2 linked regions of the Caenorhabditis elegans genome follow. The protein of the gene in region 2 interacts with the protein of the main gene of each other region in a pairwise test. Each region holds a gene or a part of one and is shown on either strand. Other genes may lie near its edges.

Region 1 (12,038 bases), on a different chromosome or scaffold from region 2:
ATGTTAATAATCCGATTTTCATAATATGACCTTTTTTAATAAGAAATTTTGTTTTACAATTATTTAAATAATCCTCGTGGATTCGAATTCTGAAGTTTTTTTCGCTACTAGTAGCTACTAATTTTCTCCATTAGTCTAGATTAAACATTCTACAAGTATTAGCCTAGCATTGTTAGCCAGAATGAAACGGAAAAAGTGTGATTCATTTTTTGTTCAGAAAAAAAAAGTGATCCGTTTATCGGAACCGTTTCTTATTCTTATAAGTGCACCTGTTTTTGCGATATTAAAGTTTTCAGTTTCCGGTTGGAGATTTCTAGAAATACATTTTATGTGTCATAAAATAGATTTGAAAAATGACGCATCGTTTTACAGCCTGTAGGAAACAATGGATCTGCAGCATCGTTTTCAGCCCCGAGCGAATTTTTTTTTTCAACGATAAGCCGTGTAAACATTCAAAAAAATATCAGGATTCAGAAAGATATATTGGGTTTAGACTAAACCTTGTGCAATAATATTATCAAGATATGAAGTCACTGAAACTACAAAATTCAAAAACAAATGTTTGGAAAAGCTTTGAAAACAAAATGTGTAACTTATAACAAAAAAAAGTTTTTAAAGAAGTGACAATAGTAGTTTTGATCAAAAGTGTAACTTTCATCACCATAACTTACGGTTTTCTTATTTTTTAAATTAGTTATCTCAAGCAATAATGTAAAATTTGCGTGCTTATCAATATCTTTGATATCTCACCTAAAAAAATAAGTGTGAAAAAGATCTATTTTCACTTACCCCAGTCAAGGTACAATGTCCCTATTCACCAGAAATCGGTTGCGGAACAAGCTGTCTCGGTGGGTATTATCGGAGGTAAATTGACCAGAATGATGGTTTATCAGATAAAATTATCTTTTTTATCACTTGAAGAAACGATTTCGTGCACCATAAAATGGGCAAAAAGGGCAATCAAAAAAACGATAAGTCAAAAGATAGATTTGATGATGATTGGCAGTTCACCAGACACCCGGCTCTTAAAAAAGTTTTTTGTAGTGAGAAACTTGGTTTATCGAATAAAACTATAATTGAACAGTACTTCACTTCACTGAGGTTTAAATAAAAATTAAAAGAGGTAGAGATTTATGAAGAATCAGATGAAAATTGGAAACTGAAAAAAAATCTTTAAAAAACGGTGCAAGTTTTAAAGTGACCTAGAACTGAGAAAAAAAATTTAATGAGACAAAAATATGATTACAACCTTATTTTTTCAACTTAATCGTTATCAATGGTTGTATTCTGAGTTTCTTATCTTAAAAGTGAAAATTTTGATTTACTTCTTTATATGTATGCCCATAATTTTTGCAATGTATCTAATTGAATGTTTTAATGATTAGTTAGTATGAATTGAGCTACCAAAACTTTATTAGTTTTCGAAAAACTTTCAAATCATATAAATGCACATATATATATTCTCAACAACTTATCGCTATATTACAAAAAGATGTCCCGTATTTGCTCTAATTGTTTATATTCATTAAGTTCATTTAATTAAGTAAATCAAAACTAATTATTTTATTGACTGTAACTAAATTCCAAAAGTCACAAAAAAAAATCGTAAAATGTCTTTTTTTTAAGAAAGAGTAAGTTAGAGAAGTATTTTGAAACCACTTCACTTGTGCTCAAATAACCAAATCTTTTTCGAAAATGGGGTTAAATTTTAGGGTACTTGTGTATTACATGCCCTCATTTTAATAGTAATTTTTTAAGCCATGAAAAATGAAAACGTGAACCACAATTTGTATTTTTAGGCTTAGGAAATAACATTTTCTAAGCCTAAAGAGGAATAATGTATATCACGTTTATTTTAATTGGAGAAATTAATGACAATTTAATTTAATTTGAAAATGAGGGCATGTAATACACAAGTACCAATTTTAGGTTTTCTCCATATTTTTCATGAACTTCGCATATTACCAAAAATAAATTTTTAATTTCAAAAAATCAAGTTTATTTAAACCGTTCTATAATGATATGTTTGACCTTTTTTATTACTGAAAGTTTAATTAAATTAAATCTCAATTGGCGCTTTTTTATTTGTACTAAGCTTGGTAAAGTTGCGTTAAACGTTTAATGAAAAAAATTTAATCAATGGATTTATGGCTACAAGTTTCTAATAAACTCATTTGTTTTCAAATGGTACTTATTTTAGTAATTTAAAGTGTTGAAAATTTTGAGTTAAAACACTTTAACCGGCATTGTATGCAAAGCAACAACAAAATGTTTTTTTTTGAGACCCAAAAACTCACATCCTAATTAATCAGTGCACTCAAGTTTTTAATAGCTAACATTTACCAGAACTTGCTCAATAAAAAAGTTTCAGAACAACAGTACAACTGTGACATCTGATCAATATTTTTATTTCCGTATTTGATTTTTTTTAACAGTAATGTACAACAAAGGACCATGACTATGGCATGTATTTGAAAGAAATGGAATAAATTGACTTGTTTGATTTCAGGTGGTTGAAAGAATAGAAAAATATCAGCAAGAATTGACAAGAATTTGATTCGATGGTGTAAAAAGTCACAACAATTTTTATGAATTTTGAATAATAGGACGGGGGTTTAGAGCTCGGTCTGGCGGGGACTCCAAACAGGAAAATTTAAATTTAAAGAAACAAGATGAATCAGACTCCGCTGAGAACATCGTCCATAAATTGATTCCAATCACTCATTTTCCCGAAAGAAGGAATTAACCGCACAATTTCGTACATTGTCTTGTGATGAGTCTGCAAAATAAAAAATTCCATGAAGAAACTAAAAAAAAAAACACATTTCAGTTGCATATATTTAGTCATCATTGAATAAAGACAATGTCCCTAGAGGGGTCGGAGCAAAACTTTATGTGCTCATCTTGGGCTTTATGTGGGTAATGTAGTAAAATTGTTTGATTTGATATATGATTTCTTTTTTTAATTTAGTGTAATTTAGCATTGGTTAATTTTTCAAGGCGTTATTGAATCGACTGGGAACATGGAAATATTTAATTACCGTATTTCCTCTATTAGTCTTGCATGCAAGACTAATTTTCAATCGAACCGCAGGGGTGCAAGACTAATAGAAACTGCAATACTATTAGAGGCTGCAAGACTAATTTTCAATTGCCTTATAACATTGGAAAGTTGACCAATTCTCGTCAAAACTTGTCTTGAAACCGTCTAAGTAGTACAAAATATTTACTTTTCAATGATTTTATCAATTATTTGAACACCTTCATGTTTAATGTAACCAAAAAATGACGAATTTGTTGAAGTTTCTACGAATTATTGCTGGTCAGACAATACGATTGGCCCGCAGTGGTGCAAGACTAATAGGGGTGCCAGACTAATAGAGGCTGCAAGACTGATAGAGGAAATACGGTAATTACAACTATGGTTTTTTTAACTTGAAAGATAGCTGACCGTGTAGATTTTTTTTTTAGACTTATGCTGGCAACTTTTCCTATTTATCTCTAAAAAGCTCACTGTAAACGATGGAAGCAACAGAAGTATAAACTTGATCCGAGCTTCAATATCATCAACTCCTTCAGATATTAAATACTGTTGCAATTCTTTCATAGCGACGTTGCATGCTTCGGCAGATAACGCTTTTGCCATTTCAGATAGCTGTACGTTTCCAGGATTCCAAAACATAATTCTTCGTATCGTCATAATCTCTCCATATAACATGTTCTGACTGCCAATCGGCAGTACCAGCTCATTGATTAGAGCACGCATGGGTTCGCCGAACATTCTGTAAAAAAAGTATTGTAATTAATGTTGGCTGTAAAATGAGAACTTTTATTAACAAGACCTGAATGTTAAATTTGGCAACTGTAAGCTGAGGAACTATGTATAATATGAATTAAATGGGATTGGAATTGGCTAAACCATTTCATATATTCATCAATTTGAAAAAACAATTTTGAGACGAAAAAGACATCTAGCCAATTCAAATAAGAATTATGCAAGTTTTGTAGCTCATTAAACCAAGTTGCTTAGAAAATGTATTTATCAAAAACTATATTTTGAAAAAAAATGCGTGCAAACAGGCTGAAAAAATATCTGATACTTTGTTGCAACTGTTGCAATTGCAATGAGAGCATTAACATAGCTGGACTAGATGAAGTTTGATTGAATGAAAAGTTCATTTGAAAATTTCATCTATCAAATATGAAAGTTAAATTCCCAAACGATTTTCACAAGTTAAAAAAAAACTTACATATCTCTCATTTGATTTTCATCCACAACATCACTTCCTTTAAAATTAATCGGTACACCGGGAACAATATAATTGTTGTTGACCAATACTAACTAAAAATAAAAACATTTTTACTCAGTTATGTACATCTTCAGTTTCAACTAACCCGATCTCGAAAGCCAAGTTCATAAGTGTGATAAACATTGTCTAACAGCATGTATTTGAGCGCAAATGCTCGTAGAAGTTTTGTCTGGAATTTAAATTGTACATAATTAGAGAAACATGTGTGTATACCTTATCATTGTGATCACAAAGCATCCGAAACTCGGGTAACTTTTCAACCCATTCGAACATTAAAACCATTTGGGCTTGAAATATTGTCGTGAAGTCTTCTGACGTGGCAGGGTGACGTAACGTCATTTCCTGCTCGGATAATATTTCTTCTAGACTTCCACAAAGCATTGCTCGCCTTCGCCGCTTTTGTTCCATAAAATCGTATACTTGTCTGACTATCAGGGAGCTATCGCTAGGTGGTGACGGAGGAATTGCTGGTGTGAAATCCTAAAGAAACGTTTATAATAGATGTTAAATTTGAAGAAATCAAGAAATTAATTTATATATCAAGGATAACTTCAATTAGGTAAAAGAATAAACTTCGGTCTCTTATCATATATAAACCATAACAAAAAACAACTCACTGCTAAATTTATATTCAATGGTGTGAACGCGGAGCCAGGAGAGGTCATATCACTGCTGAGCTCATAGCTTGGAGACGTCTAAAACACTTTCTGTTTTTTAAAATAATTGCAAAAGGAAGATCATACCCGTGTTCCGCCTAATCGAAGATCATAATCGGGGTCATTTTGATCGAACGATCCATTGGAGGTATGCACTTCTCGTTTTGGTTGAACTGCTTTTTTATCCATCCCAACCGCGTAACACTTGGCTAATCTGCAAGCTCGGCAAGCACAACGAGCATCTGGAAAACATTAATGTTTAAAAACAAGCCATTCGTAATTTTTCCAATAAAAAAAGTGAGTTTAAATAAACTTCCAATCATATTGCTTTGATTGAAACTATCATAAGATTGAAGCTATAGCTCATTTCCATGGCAACAAAACACGAGTGATGCGAGAGTGTCTTTCACTTCGGGTGTTGCTATATTGGGTTTTGAAGCAACACGTTTATTTTTGTTGGCAACATTGTTTTACCTAGAATACCGAAAACTAGTTCAATGCAAAAATTTTAAGAAACATTGAGTTTTCATCTTTGTAATTCTAAGTTAAAGTGATACCATTAGGGCAAATGCTTAAAATAACCTTCTTATTGCAAAAATTTTAAATACCACAAAGTAACTGTTAGAAGAATAGTTTGAATTGTTTTATTAACATTAAAAATGAAAAATCATTTAGGTTTTACCGATTTTAAGTTTTTATTTTGCCGAAAACGTTTTATGGTCGAGTTATCATTCTTAACCATGTGTTTAAACACTCCAGGTTTTTAAAATTAAGCATTTTTCGAAAGTCAAAAGTTATCAAAATAATTGCCAAATCACCAAAAACTTTAGGTGAAATTTTAAACAATCAAAATACATTTATGTTAATTTTTCAAAAATGTTACCTCATAAATTTACCTAAAAAACGCAACTTATCCAATTTTTGAAATGACTCGCGGGGTTTTTCCTAGTTTTACTAGTTTGGTTCACATCTAACACAAATGTTCCTGCTATTTCAGAATATCGAAAGTCATTTCAAATTTTGGATGAATTAATTTTATTACTGCCTTTTTTTTTTAATTAGTTGAAATAATCTCTAAAATCTTTATTTTTAAAAAAAGTGTAGTGAATTTTCTGCAGTTTTTATTCGTACTTCAAGGAATGGAAAAAAAGTCAATTGAAACTAACTGAAACAGTCAGCGATCTGATAAAACATTTTGTGTTTATGTGTAGAAGAGAGTTTTGCACGTAACAACAATCTTGACCTTATTCATGACAGGCCTGTTATCACAACTATTCGGAATTCGTTTTTTTTTTCAATTTTTGAAATTTAGAAGATTTGAAAAAATACTCACTTTTATCAACAGGACATCGACCCCCTCTTCGGCATGTGAAACTCATGTTGAAAGTGACCGCTCGTCGAAAGAACGCGTTGCAACCTCGACACGATCGAACACCGTAATGAAACCCGTCCGCCGCGTCGCCACACACCACGCATTGTTCTAAAAAGTTTTATGCTTAGTCATTCGGACATAAAATTTTTATTTTGAGTTTTTTTAATTGATTATTTCAGTTAAAGGCTATTGTTTTTTATGGAAGCTTCTTTCAGTTTTAAGTTTGAGCGTTAATCGGAACAAGTATAAAATTATATATTGTTTCTTATTAGCCAATTAGAAAACGAAAAAAAAATCAAAACTTTGAATACCTGTATGGCTCAATATTTCAATGTGTGAAGGATTGAGCTTCGTTGCATACATCAAATGCCTTCTCTGGAAAATTACATTTTTTGAAATTTTTATGTGGATAAAATTTCACAACTTTCAATGAAGAAGAACATTCGTTCTAAAGAAAAGGTTGCAATAAAAATCGGTATTGATATTATGAGCTCATCCAGGTCATAATCCATAGTAATTAGACTTAATTTAAAATTACGTAAACATAATTCCCCTCGGGGCACATGAATTCATCTGGTCTCCTTTTCACAACAGTTGGTGGTCGGCGAAAAGGTGCCCCTTCTTTCGTGTACAAATGATGGACCACACAAGAGCCGGAGAGTGACAGACGTGAAACGGTGCAGTGGCAGAGTAGAAAAGAGAGAAAATAGACTGCACGTGCTATTGACAGGACAAGCAAACCGGACTAAAGAGAGGCAGAGAATGAATGTTGGGGACGAGACAACGAAGGGCAAGAAAAGGAAGAAGTACGCGAACGATAAAACGTGAGGAGAAATGAGGTCCATTCGTGGTAAGATGAATAGGACAAATCTGGTACTCTAGGAATATGTGTGACCTCAATGCGAGAAATCATGTCGCGATCTTTGATTCTTTGCGGTCTCGATTATATCGCCAAATTTGAGTGCCCTAAAGTAAAAAATGATGGTAATCTAAAGGTTTTTGCCGACTTACTACCTACCTACAGCATGCTAATAAAACTTTAAATTGTCTATTGAATACAAGAAATGAGGAATCTCAGTAACTTAGAATGCTTCAAACTGGCGGCATTTCCCAGAAAAGCTTAAGCAAAGGTTGATACAAAATTTGTTCAGGAAATGATATATTCCTGCTAAAACCTGATACAAGTTCAATTAACGTTTGTATACCTTTAGCAAAAATCATTTAAACCGTTAAACGTTGAACAATGCATGGGAATTTGCTCCCAATCACCCTAACAATAGTGTAAGAAAGGGCACAGGAAAATTGTTATACGGTGTCTCAGAAAGTTTTAACTTTGTTGGGGCCATAAACTCTCACAACATTTTGTTCCAAAAAACTTAAAACTACTGAAAACCAACATGCCTCGTTACTTTATATGTATGTTCTAATATTAATACCTAGATACATATGACAATTTACTAAATTGGAAAATGTTTTACAAAAATTTACAAGAACTGTTTTAATGATGGATATGAAAATTTTGAATTCATCAAAACTAACAATTATAACAATTATTCAAGCAACAAAATTCGAATTGCAATTCAAAAGACATGTTTTAATCGACTTAAATATTATATCAATTGGCACTAAACGTGTGTTTCAGTTGATTCGCTACATGTATTGGTATTTTCTTTTGTTTTTCCAAAATTCACAGAAAATCAGTGGATATTCTAATAAAATGCAAAATCTATTTAAATTATCGTTTTTCCTCAAAAAAAAAACACTAAATTTACACCAAAGATCATCAGTAGAGAATACTATTTTCCCATACTTATCCTCCGCCTACAAACATACACACACACACACACGTGTTTTCCCATTTCTCGCAACGAATGACCAAAAACTGATACAACCTCTCCGTCTCTGAAACAACAAAGAAAAACCAAAAAGCGAAACTATCATCTCACATTATAATACAAACACCAGCCTACCTACAATGTTGCGTTGCACGCTCCCACCCGCTTCTCCCGCTCCCTCTCGCCCTCCTTTTCCACTTTATTCGCATCACTTTTTTATCGCTACGCAATTTCTTGACTTGTAAACAAAACCTATTGGAAACCACCAGTGTGCCTCTTGGATTGAAATTTGGAAGTGGAAAGAGAATGAAATAAGAAGATGAAATAAGAAAAAGGCGCGAACTGTTACAGAAAAACCGGAAACCTCAACTAATTCAATTTCATGTATAATATATTGAAAGTTAATATTTTTAAAAAACTGAAATGTAAATTTGTGAAACTAGTAAGCGTACTACAAAATGTTCAGCGTGTTCAAGATTATTATTTTTGAAGAATAAACAACCATGTCGGAAAACGACATACCCCAACTCGCACAAATTTGAAACACAAGGTACTCGGTTATATTTATCAAGATTAAAACTCGTAAAGCTATCAATTTTTTGAGTGTATTGAAATAATTTCGCTATTGACACGTACAACAATAAGGATAATTTATTTGTCAAAGACCAGAAACGATTTTTTTGTCTAACTTTTATTGTATTTGTCGCACATATAAAACGCTGTCATTAATTTTTTCTTACCGCTGATTGGTAGCCATAATTTCAATGAGCGCAAAGTAGGAGACACCAACAAGATACTAAATTAAGAAAGTAAGTTCTGTTGTATGCGTTACTGCAATCTTAAATTTTTTATAAAATATGGGTATGATATAATAAAAGTGGTTTCCTCACAGATCTTCAAGTTTTACATTACAATTGGAGTATCCGAGAAATACTTTTTATGATCAACTTCCTCAATTTTCATCGGAATCTCAAAAAAAACGTCATATGTTGCCTTTCTTCTTTTTTTTTAAGGTACCCAATCGTAATATCACTATCATACCAAAAAGATCATCACGTTCAATTCCCTGCTTCAATTGCAACAAACTACACACGTTCTGTAGATTTACTAGAAACACGTGGGGGACAGGAAACAACCTTTTGGAGCATGATGCGTGGAGGAATAATCGAGTTTCCCTAGAATAGCGAGGAAAATATTTGGTTGCCCGAGTAACGCTGAAACTAAATTATATATTTTCATCGAAGTTCGACCTGAGCCGCATTTTAGCATTCAGATCTGCAATGAAGATGCCGAGTTTCTTAGTGTTGCATATTTTATCAATATTCTTTCAAATTAGCAGCTGCTTCAATTGTACGGGAAATAATACGTTGTGCCAGGTATTGGGAATTGTGTTATCAAATATTGCTGATTTTATAGAGCTTGAAATTTCAATAATAGATTTTATAAGATCCGAAGAATAGCTAATAATAAGAGAAACTGACTGAATCATAAAATGTTTAAAAGTAAAACTAATTACCTATTCAAAAATTCCCTAAAAACACTCAGAAAATAAAAAAAAATCTGGTCAAATCTTTAAAAAAAAAATCAAAAAGCCACTGATTAAGGTGTGCAAACAATTTGGAGAAACTGACGGAGTCAATACCTTTTATGCTGACCAGTTGTGCTCTATGTACGCGGGAGTTCAGGATACTTCGGGGAACTACACAATCCCAGAAAGATGCGAACTTTTGTTTAGCAAGCTGCATCGTGAGTGTTGAAACTTGAAAATTGGATTAGGGGGAAGTAACTAAAAATTTGTAATTGTGAAAAATGAGATTAGAAACGTTGAGCTCTTGAACTTTTAGATTTTTCAGCTTGACGTTTGATTTCTGAGTCTAGCTTATATGTCAAATTTTTCTATTTGGTTCAAGAAATTAATCCCAGAAGTAAATGTATATAAATCAGGGAATGGTTTTATTGCATGAAAATTGTTTGAAAAAAACTCCGTGTTCATTGATTCTTGTCCTTGAACTGACTTTGTACAAAAGATTATCTACGTCGATAAATAGATACTTGTTCTCTAGCATCTTCCTGTCAAATGGCAGTATTATCGAATGTCGATCTTTTGGGTTCTTACATACAATACGGAATTCGCACGGTGAGTGTCTCAAGTTAACGGTGAATTTAAATAAGTCACATATTACAGCAAGAGCATAGTATGCTGTTAGGTTTGAATAGAGAAAATTGCTCTTCGAAGTGGAATTGGTGGTCTAGATTGGAGAATAAAACAATCACAGCTGGAGTCGGGAATCAGTCAGAGCCATGTGACATTGTGCAAGGGGCTTTTGTGGTGAGTTATGATAAATTTATTTCTAATTAAAATGCAACTTAGCAAAAGAAATACAAAATTAGATTGGGTGATTCGGATTTCTTAGTTTTTGCTTGCAAAAATAATGTAACACAACATTGATAATTGGAAAAATACAATAAATATTAATAAAAAATTTAAAAAAATTACTTTAATGGCAGCGAAGAGTGAAAACCAAAGTGAGACTTGAAGTAAGAAATGATGACGAAACATCATTATTTCAGGGGTTTAACTTGGTTCGAATAACTCCTTCGAATTTCACACCGACCGGCATTTTATGTCAATGCAGTGGGTTTTAAAACGCAACATTTCTGATAAGAAGTAGCAAAGACTACAGTTCAATATGTTTCAGGTGACCAGGTCTCTTTCTTGCCAGTGGTTAAAAGTATTGATACAGCAACACGGCTCACGTTTTTCGCAGTGATGTTGATAACTATTTGTAGGAACCAAATTTTATGACATTCGTGGTACGAAATAAAGTTTTTCTTTAAATGTTTGTCAAATGAAATCGAGTAAAATCAATCACGTCAATTGAAAATACAATTTAAATATTCATCATACGAATAATTAAGGATGAGCTTTCATAAAAACCTTCATAAAACAAAAATGAACTGTTCTGACAAAAACAGGTTTGCAAAATTTAGGCTTCATAAAATCAGTTTTTTAAAAATGTGAAAAATCTGATAAGTCAATTCAAACAAAATTTTTTTTTCAAACGGACAAAGAACTGTGTTTATATTTTTAATGTGCTCTAATAATTATATGATCAAACGGTTCTAATAAACAATTTAAACTTTTCAGGAAATGTTGCGCTTTCAGACAACTAGCCAATTTACAAGACAACGTCAGATTATCAGAAAGGTTTGTTTTAGAAGCAAAATTATGAGTTGTTAAAAACTGAACAAAATTCTTAAAGAAATACTTTCGTTGTAAAACACGTTGTAGCGTGGTCATTATTGACTATTTCGGTATTAATGTATCAACCTGTCACATTTTTGCATCCCAGCACGTGATGAGAAGATAGAAACTACATCTTTCTTTTCTGATACGGTAACATAAAATCAGAAGAATGTGCGTTTTCGTTTATCTGGTAAAGGATTGTTTCTAAAGCAAATATTTAAATAATTTATTAAAGGAAAAAACAAAATGATGTGAAAAAATTTAATATAAAAAGTTCAAAAATTTGTTAAGAAAAATGGGAAGCGAACAAAGAGTAAGTCCTTCATCAACGAAATCTCAGCGAGAAAATTCACGAAACGTACTGAGAGAACAATCAAATTATGGGAAGGGGAGAGGGTGCGATATAATTTTTGAAATTAAATTAGCTCATTCCTCCTGGGATGGTTGGCGAAACTCCTTGAAGAACAAGACGGGTTTCGTAGAATTTGATGACTTGACTTGGAAAACTGAAAATCACACTTTATTGAAAACTAATATTTTTGATGACTTTGCAGTAGCGATATTTTAAAAAGTTTTGAATATTGCAAGAAATCCCTTGCGACTTGTGAATAGCGCCAA
Region 2 (10,445 bases):
TTTGTCACAAAAAAAAACGTTTGTATAAATACGTCCGCCTTTTCAGGAATCAATTTTCCATTTCTTTGTTATTTTTCAAAATCTCACGATTTCTAAAAATTTTTGTAGTTAATTCCACACACAACGAAAGCACACGATAAATAAATGCATTTTTAAAATTACTCCGAAGCACATAATATATTTTAGAAAAGTTGAAGCTTCAGATACTTCATAGAACTTCTGTCGATACTTGAATGTAGGACGTATGACCTGCAAATGTCAAAAATATACTTATTTTATTCATGATATCTACAGAGTTACAATTAATTATAGAAATGTGCATAAAAATGCATGGTGCCATAAAATCTGCAACCTTGAGATAAATTGACGAATGTTTCCCAGAATGACAAAAAATGATTTCTTAACAAAACTGTTAAAAAAGGCTCATGGATCAATAAAACTGTTATCACAAATAATTTTATATAGCTTATATAGCTTTATTACATAGCTTATATAATATAGCTGCAAAAAATAAAATAGAAAACTCTGGGACCCCGTCTTTAAAAAAGGACCAAGATAGTTTTATAGTTTTTTCGTGTTTTAAACCATGTTAATTATGGTCATTGAAAAAAATTTCTTCAATTTTCCCTTAAGTTTGAACAAAAACATAAATAATTGTGTTACTGACTTTAATCCAGCAGAGAATATTATTTTCCGTTCATAAAACCGTTAGTCCTAGAACATACATATAACTTTAATATCATTTCGAGATGATTCACCTCTCACTCCGAGCTCACACTGAGCATTAACTCGGCAGTTTGGTTCTCCTTTCTCTCCGCCTTTTTTCACCTATCTTTCGCACTATTTTTGCCTAGATTATATCGGCGAAATATAGCAGTGGAAGTGCGAAAGAAAGGTGAAGAAGTGCGAAAAATAGGAAAACCAAATTGCCGAGTAAATTCACGTTCGTTTTTAAGATATTTTAAAAGTTTTTATGAAATTGAGTGTTTCAGTGCATCCATTATATTGTTGGGAACACTTTACTGTTTTCTGTACATGAACGAAAGGTTCACAATAGCGAAGTTTGATCACTTTTGATGGAACGGATTACGGTATATGATTGTTTGAATCACACATTTAGTGACCTCGCTTTTTGTTTCTATTCTCTGTATTTTGCAACAAACAAGATTTTAGAAAAAGTGCAAAACCGTTTGTTATTCGGGGTGGCGCTAAATCGAAGAACTGCAGCGACAAGTGCTTGCACTTACTGACCAATTATAAAATAAAACCATCGAAATAAAACCATCCCTCCAAAACGAGATTATCTTCACTGCCATTAAACTTTACAGGTTGCAGTATGGGGATTGGTGGAAATGTTCAAGTTCAAGAAATTAATAAAAACTTCGCAAACTACTATTGAATGATGGTGGCTAAAAATTAAGAACTAGACCCTTATACTCAACCATTAGAAGGTTCGTCTTGGAAATTTTCTCACAAGGAAAGGAAGTCAGTTTACCTCCGGATTTTGCAACGAGATATGTCTCATTTGAAATTTTTAGATTGTACTATCATAAAAATTTAAGCAAAAAAACCCTGAAATGACGGTACGAAATTTTTTCTTTCTTTTGATTGAGAGGGATCACAAAGTTTTACGGTTTTTTTTGTCAATAATTTTTTTTCATTTTTCCCCATGTTTTGTCCTCTGTCGGCTAAAAAAATAAACCTACAGAAAATTTTCTTGGAATTGGCACAAACTAATAGCTGTTGAATTCTGGAAGGTAGGATAATATTCTTGGGATTCCTTGTCGCATTGTGACATTTTCAGAATTGTTCCGAGTATCCGAAAAAAAAATCAAAATGAGCAGGAAGTAAAGACAGGAAAACCACTAGACATTTAATTTAATTTGATATGTGGATGTTATTCATGAGAAAGAAACAGACTATTACTAAAATAATATGTAATTATGACTAACAGTAAGCAAAATAACTGGCGGTTTTTGGCTCTAGACACGCTAATAAACTATTTTTTATTCACCTCAAACAACAGAGCCTCATAACCACGCTCCAGTACAGGCTAGGCCTCTCCGTCAAAGGTGCAAGTCCCAAATGGTTCAACACTTTAGATGCTCTGAAATTTTGAAAAAAAAAGGGTTTTGTAAGTGTATTTTTTCTACGAGTTTGTCATTTCTTAAGTGTAAATTGTTGTATCTTCGAGAGTTAAGAAAATGTAGGAAAAACACAATTTATTTTTTTCCATATTTCCTAAAAACGAAACTTCTATTTTTTTGTCACGGTGGATGAAACCTTTCGATTTTTTTGCAAATCGAATGGCAAATCGACAGAAGGGCGAGTGTCAAATCATAACCGAGGACAAAGATTGAATAAAATTTGTTCAACTGTTAGTCTGTGGAATTTTCAGTCGCCGACTGAACGCGTTTTGTTTTTTTTTCATGTGTCTGAATAGCTCAAAGAATAACTTGACTTACGGAGCTGTTGTTGTTGTTTTCGAAATTGTAGTTATTACAGGATCTGTATTATCTGATAGCGTGGCAGGAAAGCCAACATAATCCGGTGGTATCATCCGGATACATGATTCTGTGTGGTATAGAAAAGCAATAACTGTGAAAATTATTATCCGTATGGACATGACTATCAGGAATAAGAATTTAGAAGTCAACTGCTTTGGATATAAAACCGAAAGTTTATTTAGTGGTTGATTACTTTTCTGCGAGTGGGATGAGGACCTACGTGCACTGGCTTATAGAACCAGTAATATTCATTGATAATGTAAGCTTAATTTAGGAAAAACCCTGATGTTTGCCAGTTTTTCGGCTTTTTTGTAAAAATTAGTACATTATTTGTATTTTAAAAAGTGCATAACTACAGTACGCCCAACTTTTATTGTTAACCTAATTTTTATTTTTCACTCCATTTCTATACCTTTTTCCGAAAAACTACTAACGACGTAATTTTCTGAACGTCAAAACCCTTTTCCTGAAATTTTCAAAAAAAAAAGAACAAAAATCTGGCCAAAATGCCCCAAAACCACCCGTCCAACTATTATAGACAGCCATCTAAAATAATGCCTTCAAAAAATTCATTTTCAATCTAAAACATGCTTGCTAATTAGACAGTTTGGTAATTGTTTCCGATGTTTCTTCACATTAAACCCATCGTTGATCGTAAACATATTTCACTTTTTCTTTCACGTTTTTGATTAATTGTTGTTCGAAATCTGGAGCCAGCCTAGTTTCTTTCAAGGATCCATTGTAGAATTCCATCCAATTTCCATTTAACGAATTTTGATCAACACTTCGATAATGCCTGAAAAGTCATATAGCTAATTTTCGTTTCAAGTGAGTTTTTGGGACCAAGCCTAAGGAACAGAAACAATTCCAAAATTTAAATAAAGATAATGTTGTACCTTAAATGAATAATTTGTTTAGGTATCGAAATAACATGAACATTCGGCTTTTGTCGAAAAGACCAGTGATAAAACAAAACATATACTAAATCCGGGCGTATAATTCCTTTGAAATTGTACCAGCTGACTTCTGTGGTCTTGTTATACTTGAGAAACGTCAATTCTGACTGTAAATTTGCAAAATTTTTCAGTTTTTCCGGAATTGTTCCGGTTGTTAGAATACGATTTGCCGTAATGCTGAGTTCTCCAATTGACGCTGGCATTGACCTGAATTGATTATAACGCTTTGCTCAGATTTGAAAAGTCTTGCCTCAAAAAATAAAGTATATCGTTGGAGCCTGTGTAAATTATTCGTTCGTCAATATCAACGTTAATCACCCATTTTGAATGATGTCGGCTTCGATGGTGGCAATCCTATAACTAGTTATAACATAGATAAGTCATGAATTTAAGAAACACCCAACGAGATAACAGGAGTTACTTTTTTCATTTGGAAGAAGATTGGTCATAAGCTGGCATGCACATTATTTGACACGTTGGCAGGTATAAAATAAGCTTAGCTTGATCTAATGAAAGACAGGTATGCGGTAGACACTTAAGTAGACTTAAATGGCGGGTTTTTTGTTTTCGTTTACAGACAAACATTTTTTGGTTTCCTAACAAATTTTTTTTCTCCGAACATTCAGTTCTTTGACAAGTCAAAAATGGTCGGAACAAATGTAAACTTTGCAGAGAAATGTATGTTAACAGTTGCGACCAAATTTGCTGAAAATTTGCCGTTTGCCGAAAAAACCGATTCGTCGCCCATCCCTTGTACATAGATTGAATTTTTTGTTCATTGAAATGTCACAAACCGGAATGCGCTCGGCGTCTCATTCTCGTAACTCAATTATTTCCCTTGTAAATTTGAATTATTGCCAGCGTTGAAAAGGTTTCTTACACAATTAAAACATATAAAATTTAACCTGTGTTTGTATCAAGTGAAACATCCATCCTAATTCTTGATATTCTGTAATATAAGTTGTGTACTCGGCATATCCGAACTTTGCATAGTAGTCCACGACTGTTCGATCATATTCGTTTATACTGAACAGAGTGAAGTAGAAATATGAAACACCCTTAATCAGAACTATTGCTTCTATTTCAAATATGAGCAACCTACCACAAGTTTATAATGCTCCACATATTCTACAATTTCCAACCATTTGCTCTTTTTTCCGTACAATGGGCCAACACAAACAGACAGCTCATGAATTGGCTCTTAACGAAAAATTGTTCATGATATACTGAATAACTGAACATTGGTCCCGATACTCAAAATTTGTGCCGCAAAATAAAAATTGAAAAGAGCACCCGCAAACCAAACATCCGGTTTCATATAATGAATCGTTTATTATATTATTTGTCTACTATTTGAGATGGACGGTTTGATGACTTTTTGAGTAATCCGAAAAAGGGAAATGGAAAACACCAGCGGACATAGCTAAAATTTTTTGGCAGAACTTTTGGTTGAAAAAAATAAAATTATAAATAGTTTAAAATTATATAATGTTTCGGAAACTTCCGAGATATTCATTAGCTTTTTTTCAATTTGTTCTAAAAGTTCATAAAAAACCGTTCAAACTTTATATTCGAAGTTACTTCATTCTTTTCCTCTATAAAATTTAGATTTTCAGTTATAAACTTTCAAAAAATAATAAAAAATTGAAAACCCTAAGACGTATATACGTATCTTACCATCGTAAATTCTAAAGGTCAATGGGATCGGCTCATGAGGGGTTTCATTCTCATCAAAAGTAACGCTTACAAACTCGGCGCCATATCTTCTGGGACATGTGATTACTGTCATAGGAACTACCACAGTGTCGAAAGAAGAGTAAGGAACTTCATCACGATTACAGTCGTAGTATCGACAAGTCACCTTTTTGCTGAAAAAAGCTGAAACAAACGTTAAGAAGTATATTAGGAGAATAACGCTCAAAGTCTTCGACAACGACCTTCAATTTTTGTAATTCCAAAACTGAGATCTTTGTCTCTTCTTTTCATCGTTGTTAATGCCTTTGATAATACTTTGTCAAAAAAAGCAAACGTTATTATTTCCTCACATACTTATCAATGTTTTGTGACGTTGTAACTATTGAAATTTGATCAGAATACACAAATGAAGATAGAAGACGGACTTGAGCATCTTTGATGTGCCTCTGAAAGAGTTTTACAAAAAATTCAAGCTTATTTGAAGGTTGGCCAGGATATAAAAGATAAAACTTACAAAAGCACCAATCCGCACTGCGGCCCATTTTTTGAAATCTTCTGAGTATGGTACATCTTTCGAAGTAACTCTGTTCCATGTTGGCACAACACAATCCTTGTTTTTATGAGAATATCTAAGATATAAAAAGTTATAATTTCGAAATGATATTTCAGTTTTCTCACAAATGAATGGAAAATGAGTGATTTGCCTCTTTAAAAACATTAATAAGCAGAGAAATTTGATTGAAAATGATTCCCAGGCCGAAACAAAAAATAATTAATCTTAAACAGAGTATTACAATTTTTTTGAAGTTATTAAACATTTTCTTAGCTAATACGAGTAATTCAACACAGTGGAGAAACGCCACAAATGCGGGATGAGGATTTTATCTCGATTAACAAAGCTTGTAAAGCGAAAGGGGAGATTAAAATCAGAGCAGATACATTCACAGCTTTATAGTTTATAAATTATTTATATAGTTTTTTAAATTATTTGAAAAGTAAGAATAACAAAACGTGAAATGAAGGGGGTATGAAACATTTGTAGACCTTCCGTTAAACTAGAAGTATTAAAAGTATTGAAACTCCTGCGTAAGCAAACAAGACACACAAACTATAGGCGAACAATGATATGAAATCACTACTGGAGTCTGTTTGATTACGTTAAAGAATGAAGAGAATATATTGCTCCGTTAGCACTTTTAAGTTGGCGTCTTTGAACATTGTCTTTGAAATTCACTTTTGTAGCATAAATTTTCAAGATCTATTGTTGCAATCATATTTCAGCCATCAAATTAAAAATCGGTTCCAAAACAACGATTAATGCTTGAATTGTCATGAAAACTTCAGAGTAATTTGTAAAAATTTCACAGAATGACAAAAGAAACACAATATTTTGTTTCAAAATTACATAAAACATTTTTGATGAAAACTCCTGTCTGGCGACAACAGATCCTTACATTAGGTGCATCGAAAATTGATTTCCTTGGCCGCATAGTTTTTATGCGAAATTGTGCTCGGTGTTTCGAGGGTATATTTTGTAAATGTTTCATCATAAAATTGATTTAATCGCAGCTCAATTTTTTTGATACTCTGCCAAAACCACACTATTTTGAAAACGTGTGGTGAAGTTCAGAATAGTTTATATATGCGAGGTTAACATCAACTTAAGCTGTTGTGATTAAGTTACATTTTTTCTGAAAAAGTGAATCGAAAGAATTGCTTGTAATAAAATGTTTTGATTTTTATGAATTCCTGATATTATTTAACATTGAACCAAACTGACGTTTCGATAAGCTTGACTCTTTATCCGTTACTATTGTTGGAAAACAATGGACCGAACTGTCTTAGTAACTCGTACACATATCTTTACGCGCGACCAGCATAGCTTAATAAGTAAGATAAACTTTTTGCCTTTACCTCAAAAACTTGCTTTCTTTTGATTGATCTTCAACACAAAAAGATAAAAACACGGATTTTAACCAGGCAATGTTTTTTTTTAAATTTCACTTTAAAGGTGGTGTACAGTCAAAATGTTTTGTTTTAAATGACAGAAAATAGAAAAAAAATCAAGAAAAACGGACGAATTGAGCCAGGAAACGCAAAAACATCAAAAATTATGACACCCATTTGCGCGAGAATTCAAATTTAATTCGGTCGTTTCTTTGATTTTTTGAAAAATTGAAAAAATCTTTAAAAAATTTAGAATATTTTGAAAAAAAAATTACAGTAATGTTCGGTCATTAGGGCCTATTTTCTGTCGTTCATTTTTGTCATTTCTCTATTTTGTGAATCCTGTCATTTTCTGTCAAAACAAAATAGACTCTACTCTACCGTTAAGCATTAACGTAGTTGATAAATTTTTTGAGATATTGTCTTTCTGAAATTATACGAGTTGTCAAAGTTGAGATCTGTAAACCCTTTCCCATTCAAAAAACTATTTGACTTTTAGCTTGAAATGAGTAATGTAGTCTTGAAATTATGAAATGCCTGAAAACAAATATGTATTTTTAGTTTTTGATAATTTTTTTCGAAATTTGTATGTATTTATTTTAAACTTTTTTATTAACTGTTTTAAGTTCCTATGTTGGTTGTTGTTCTATCTGTACTGACACTAGAAAAACATATGCAAGATTGAATAATACTTATGGCATGTTAATCAACAATTCAGTTCTTGTTTTGCAGCGTTTAGTCTCCGTTGTCGTCGCTCACTTGTTCTATCTCATTTAGTTACCCTGGCGGTAACCATTAAGCCATTTTATAGAGAAAACTAGCTGTTGTTGTTAACAGATCGGATTCTGACAGTCCATTTGCCGACCACAATAATGTACCTGGCTAATAAAACCCTAATAAAATCAATGCTCACTGATTGATTCTGCAACAAGGAGCTCCAGCAAAGTGAATATCCATTTTGAGCATATTTGCTCGAAATGGTAAAATTTTAATGAATCATTTTTCAGTTAAAGCATAATGTAATTTCAACGAAAAATGTTTGTTTTTTTGAATCTTCTTAGACTTATTAGTAGTACTATCAAAGTGTAATACGTCTATTAACCGATGAGCCCATAACTTTGCTTATATTACCATCTATTTTTCAAGTATGTACATATGTCAAGTATAATTTAGTTTCAGTCATCTACAGAGGCGTAAACATATGAATAATGAGAATAGGCACATGCTGAGTCTGGAGAGGTTTTCGACATTTAAAAAGTACACCACTGAAACACCGGTGTAAAATCCTTTGCCGAAGAAGTTGAAGAAATTATCTGCAATATAAAGGCAGGAATTATAATATATTATATAGGCAAATTGATTGTCCGTACAAAAACTTCACAAATAATTGGTTTATAATTTTTGATTACAAAATACAGGAAATGATAAGAAACTGCCGTGTTCTTAAAACATGGCTTGAGATCTTTTCTGCATACAACGCTGTAAAAAGATTTTTAACGCTGGAATAAAGACGTCACTAAATTGTTTCACGGGAGGATACTAGTTTGGAGATCTCAAATTCGAAGAACATGCATTTGTATAGAAGACACGGAACATGTGAGACAGCTTGGCGTTGTTTCAGCAAGCTTGTATCAGATGTTCATCTATCTGACCGTATTGCAAAGTCTAGCATAAAACCATCTTATATCTCAAATGCATTCAACATTCAAAACTATTATTACAATTTTTGAATCTCAAAGAATCAAAAAATTTCCTTCAGCAAAATAATTATCTTATGTTAGAACAAATGTATTATTCTATGGTCGAAATCGCACTGAAAATCATAAATTTCTGACAAAAGCCTGCTTGCTAGGCTTTCTTACCCCTTCTCTAATTAGATAATATTCATTAGTATTGACTATTCCAGTACATTTAGTACAGTACAGTACAGTACATACATTTTGCACTGCGCAGCCCACATTAACTTCATGCAATGATTAGTCCTTGTTGGGAGTTATAATTTTTAAATGAAAATTAAACCGGAAGATTTCCGTTATTGTAACAAAAACCTGTTAATGCATTTATAGATGAAAATTGAAAAGGATAAAGTCACGGACTACTGTGCACTCTCTAGTAATACATATGACGAATCTCTGAGTATTGTATCCAAAAACACAGTTGACAACAGGCTCCAGTTGTTTTGCAGTCTCTATTAGTGTTAGTGAACTCGAATTATCTTGCAAGTTTACAAAATAACTAACTATGTTTACTTTTGTTATGTAGTCAAAAGGACCAGGAGAAAAATTAAGTAGATTACCTTGTCAAGGGCCATTTATACTTCGGGATCCAAAAATTGATATTTGAATTTTGAATGAAACTATGTAGATGACACAATTTTGAAAAATAAAAATAAATAACTCGTATATTTTTTAATGATGCTCAGATCCATGTACAATTTTTGCATGGATGATACGCTTTCAAAATGTGAAAAAAACTTCATACGACATACCTATATCCAAGGAATTAATTAGAAGACGTACATATGTATATGAAGAAGAACTCGAAGAACATACTTACAAGCTATGCTAAGTATCATGAGCTCAACGCCACGGTGATATCAAAAGTAGGTTATTTGTTTATTTCTGTGAAAAATGTCAAGTTCACTATTCCAAATGTTAGAATCATTCGATTCTATCTGAAACAAATCAAACGTTATTTCAGATTTAAAAGACAATTATATTCATTCTAGAATTCCATCACCGCCTAACATGGTCTTCTAGTAAGCCTGAAATTTACCATACTGTTCCAACACTGGAAAAACATTTTGACCAGGACCAGATACAATCGGATATTTGATTATATCAGTCTTATGCATCAGAAAATGCCAACATAATCGAAGAAAACAACAATTTCCTGATACTGGTTTAAGTTGCCGCCCATCTTTAGTACATATATATTACAAGGCTAGCAGAATAGTTTCTTCAACAACCAATCTCATAATGAAGTTCATTTTCTATTCATTGCTTGCATTCACCGCTTTGTCGGTTACTGTCCAAGGATTCTCAACCAACGTTCGTGAGAAGAGAGATGCTGAACTAGAAAAGCTCCCAACTGTTGCCATCGAGGAGAAGACTTCAGAGAAAGAAGAAACTGGAGTACAAACGGCTGAGTCTAATGATACCGAGGAGAAGACTTTGGCAGAGGCAGGATCTGATGAGCCAAAGACCATATATGCTGACACCGAAAAAGTTATTGTTAAGAGAAGCGTTGCTTCAAGAAGAGCTGCTGCTGCTGCTCACCAGAAGAAAGCTCTAGCTAGATTGAACGCTCTCAAGAGAAAGCATCTTGTTGCTGCCCACAA

Evidence for each region.
Region 1: the proteins of gtnt-3 (region 2) and nhr-32 interact in a two-hybrid assay, tested with the Caenorhabditis elegans proteins (one large-scale study listed by BioGRID).

Annotation. Positions count from the first base shown.
Region 1 is NC_003284.9:13,246,639-13,258,676, reverse strand, and holds nhr-32 (Nuclear Hormone Receptor family), read right to left. Parts: upstream 6,714-12,038; 5' UTR 6,702-6,713; coding exon 6,650-6,701; intron 6,447-6,649; coding exon 6,300-6,446; intron 5,209-6,299; coding exon 5,054-5,208; intron 5,006-5,053; coding exon 4,928-5,005; intron 4,791-4,927; coding exon 4,524-4,790; intron 4,480-4,523; coding exon 4,396-4,479; intron 4,343-4,395; coding exon 4,251-4,342; intron 3,783-4,250; coding exon 3,515-3,782; intron 2,780-3,514; coding exon 2,678-2,779; 3' UTR 2,393-2,677; downstream 1-2,392. Other genes in the region: K08H2.7 (uncharacterized protein), read left to right, coding at 10,251-10,310, 10,359-10,502, 10,745-10,808, 10,873-10,979; Chromobox protein homolog hpl-1, read right to left, coding at 11,842-11,926.
Region 2 is NC_003283.11:7,249,182-7,259,626, forward strand, and holds gtnt-3 (Glycosyltransferase family 92 protein), read right to left. Parts: upstream 6,015-10,445; 5' UTR 5,977-6,014; coding exon 5,837-5,976; intron 5,788-5,836; coding exon 5,673-5,787; intron 5,605-5,672; coding exon 5,513-5,604; intron 5,332-5,512; coding exon 5,141-5,331; intron 4,664-5,140; coding exon 4,566-4,663; intron 4,522-4,565; coding exon 4,369-4,521; intron 3,818-4,368; coding exon 3,714-3,817; intron 3,671-3,713; coding exon 3,404-3,670; intron 3,304-3,403; coding exon 3,144-3,303; 3' UTR 3,063-3,143; downstream 1-3,062. Other genes in the region: C13A2.12 (Trichohyalin), read left to right, coding at 10,084-10,445.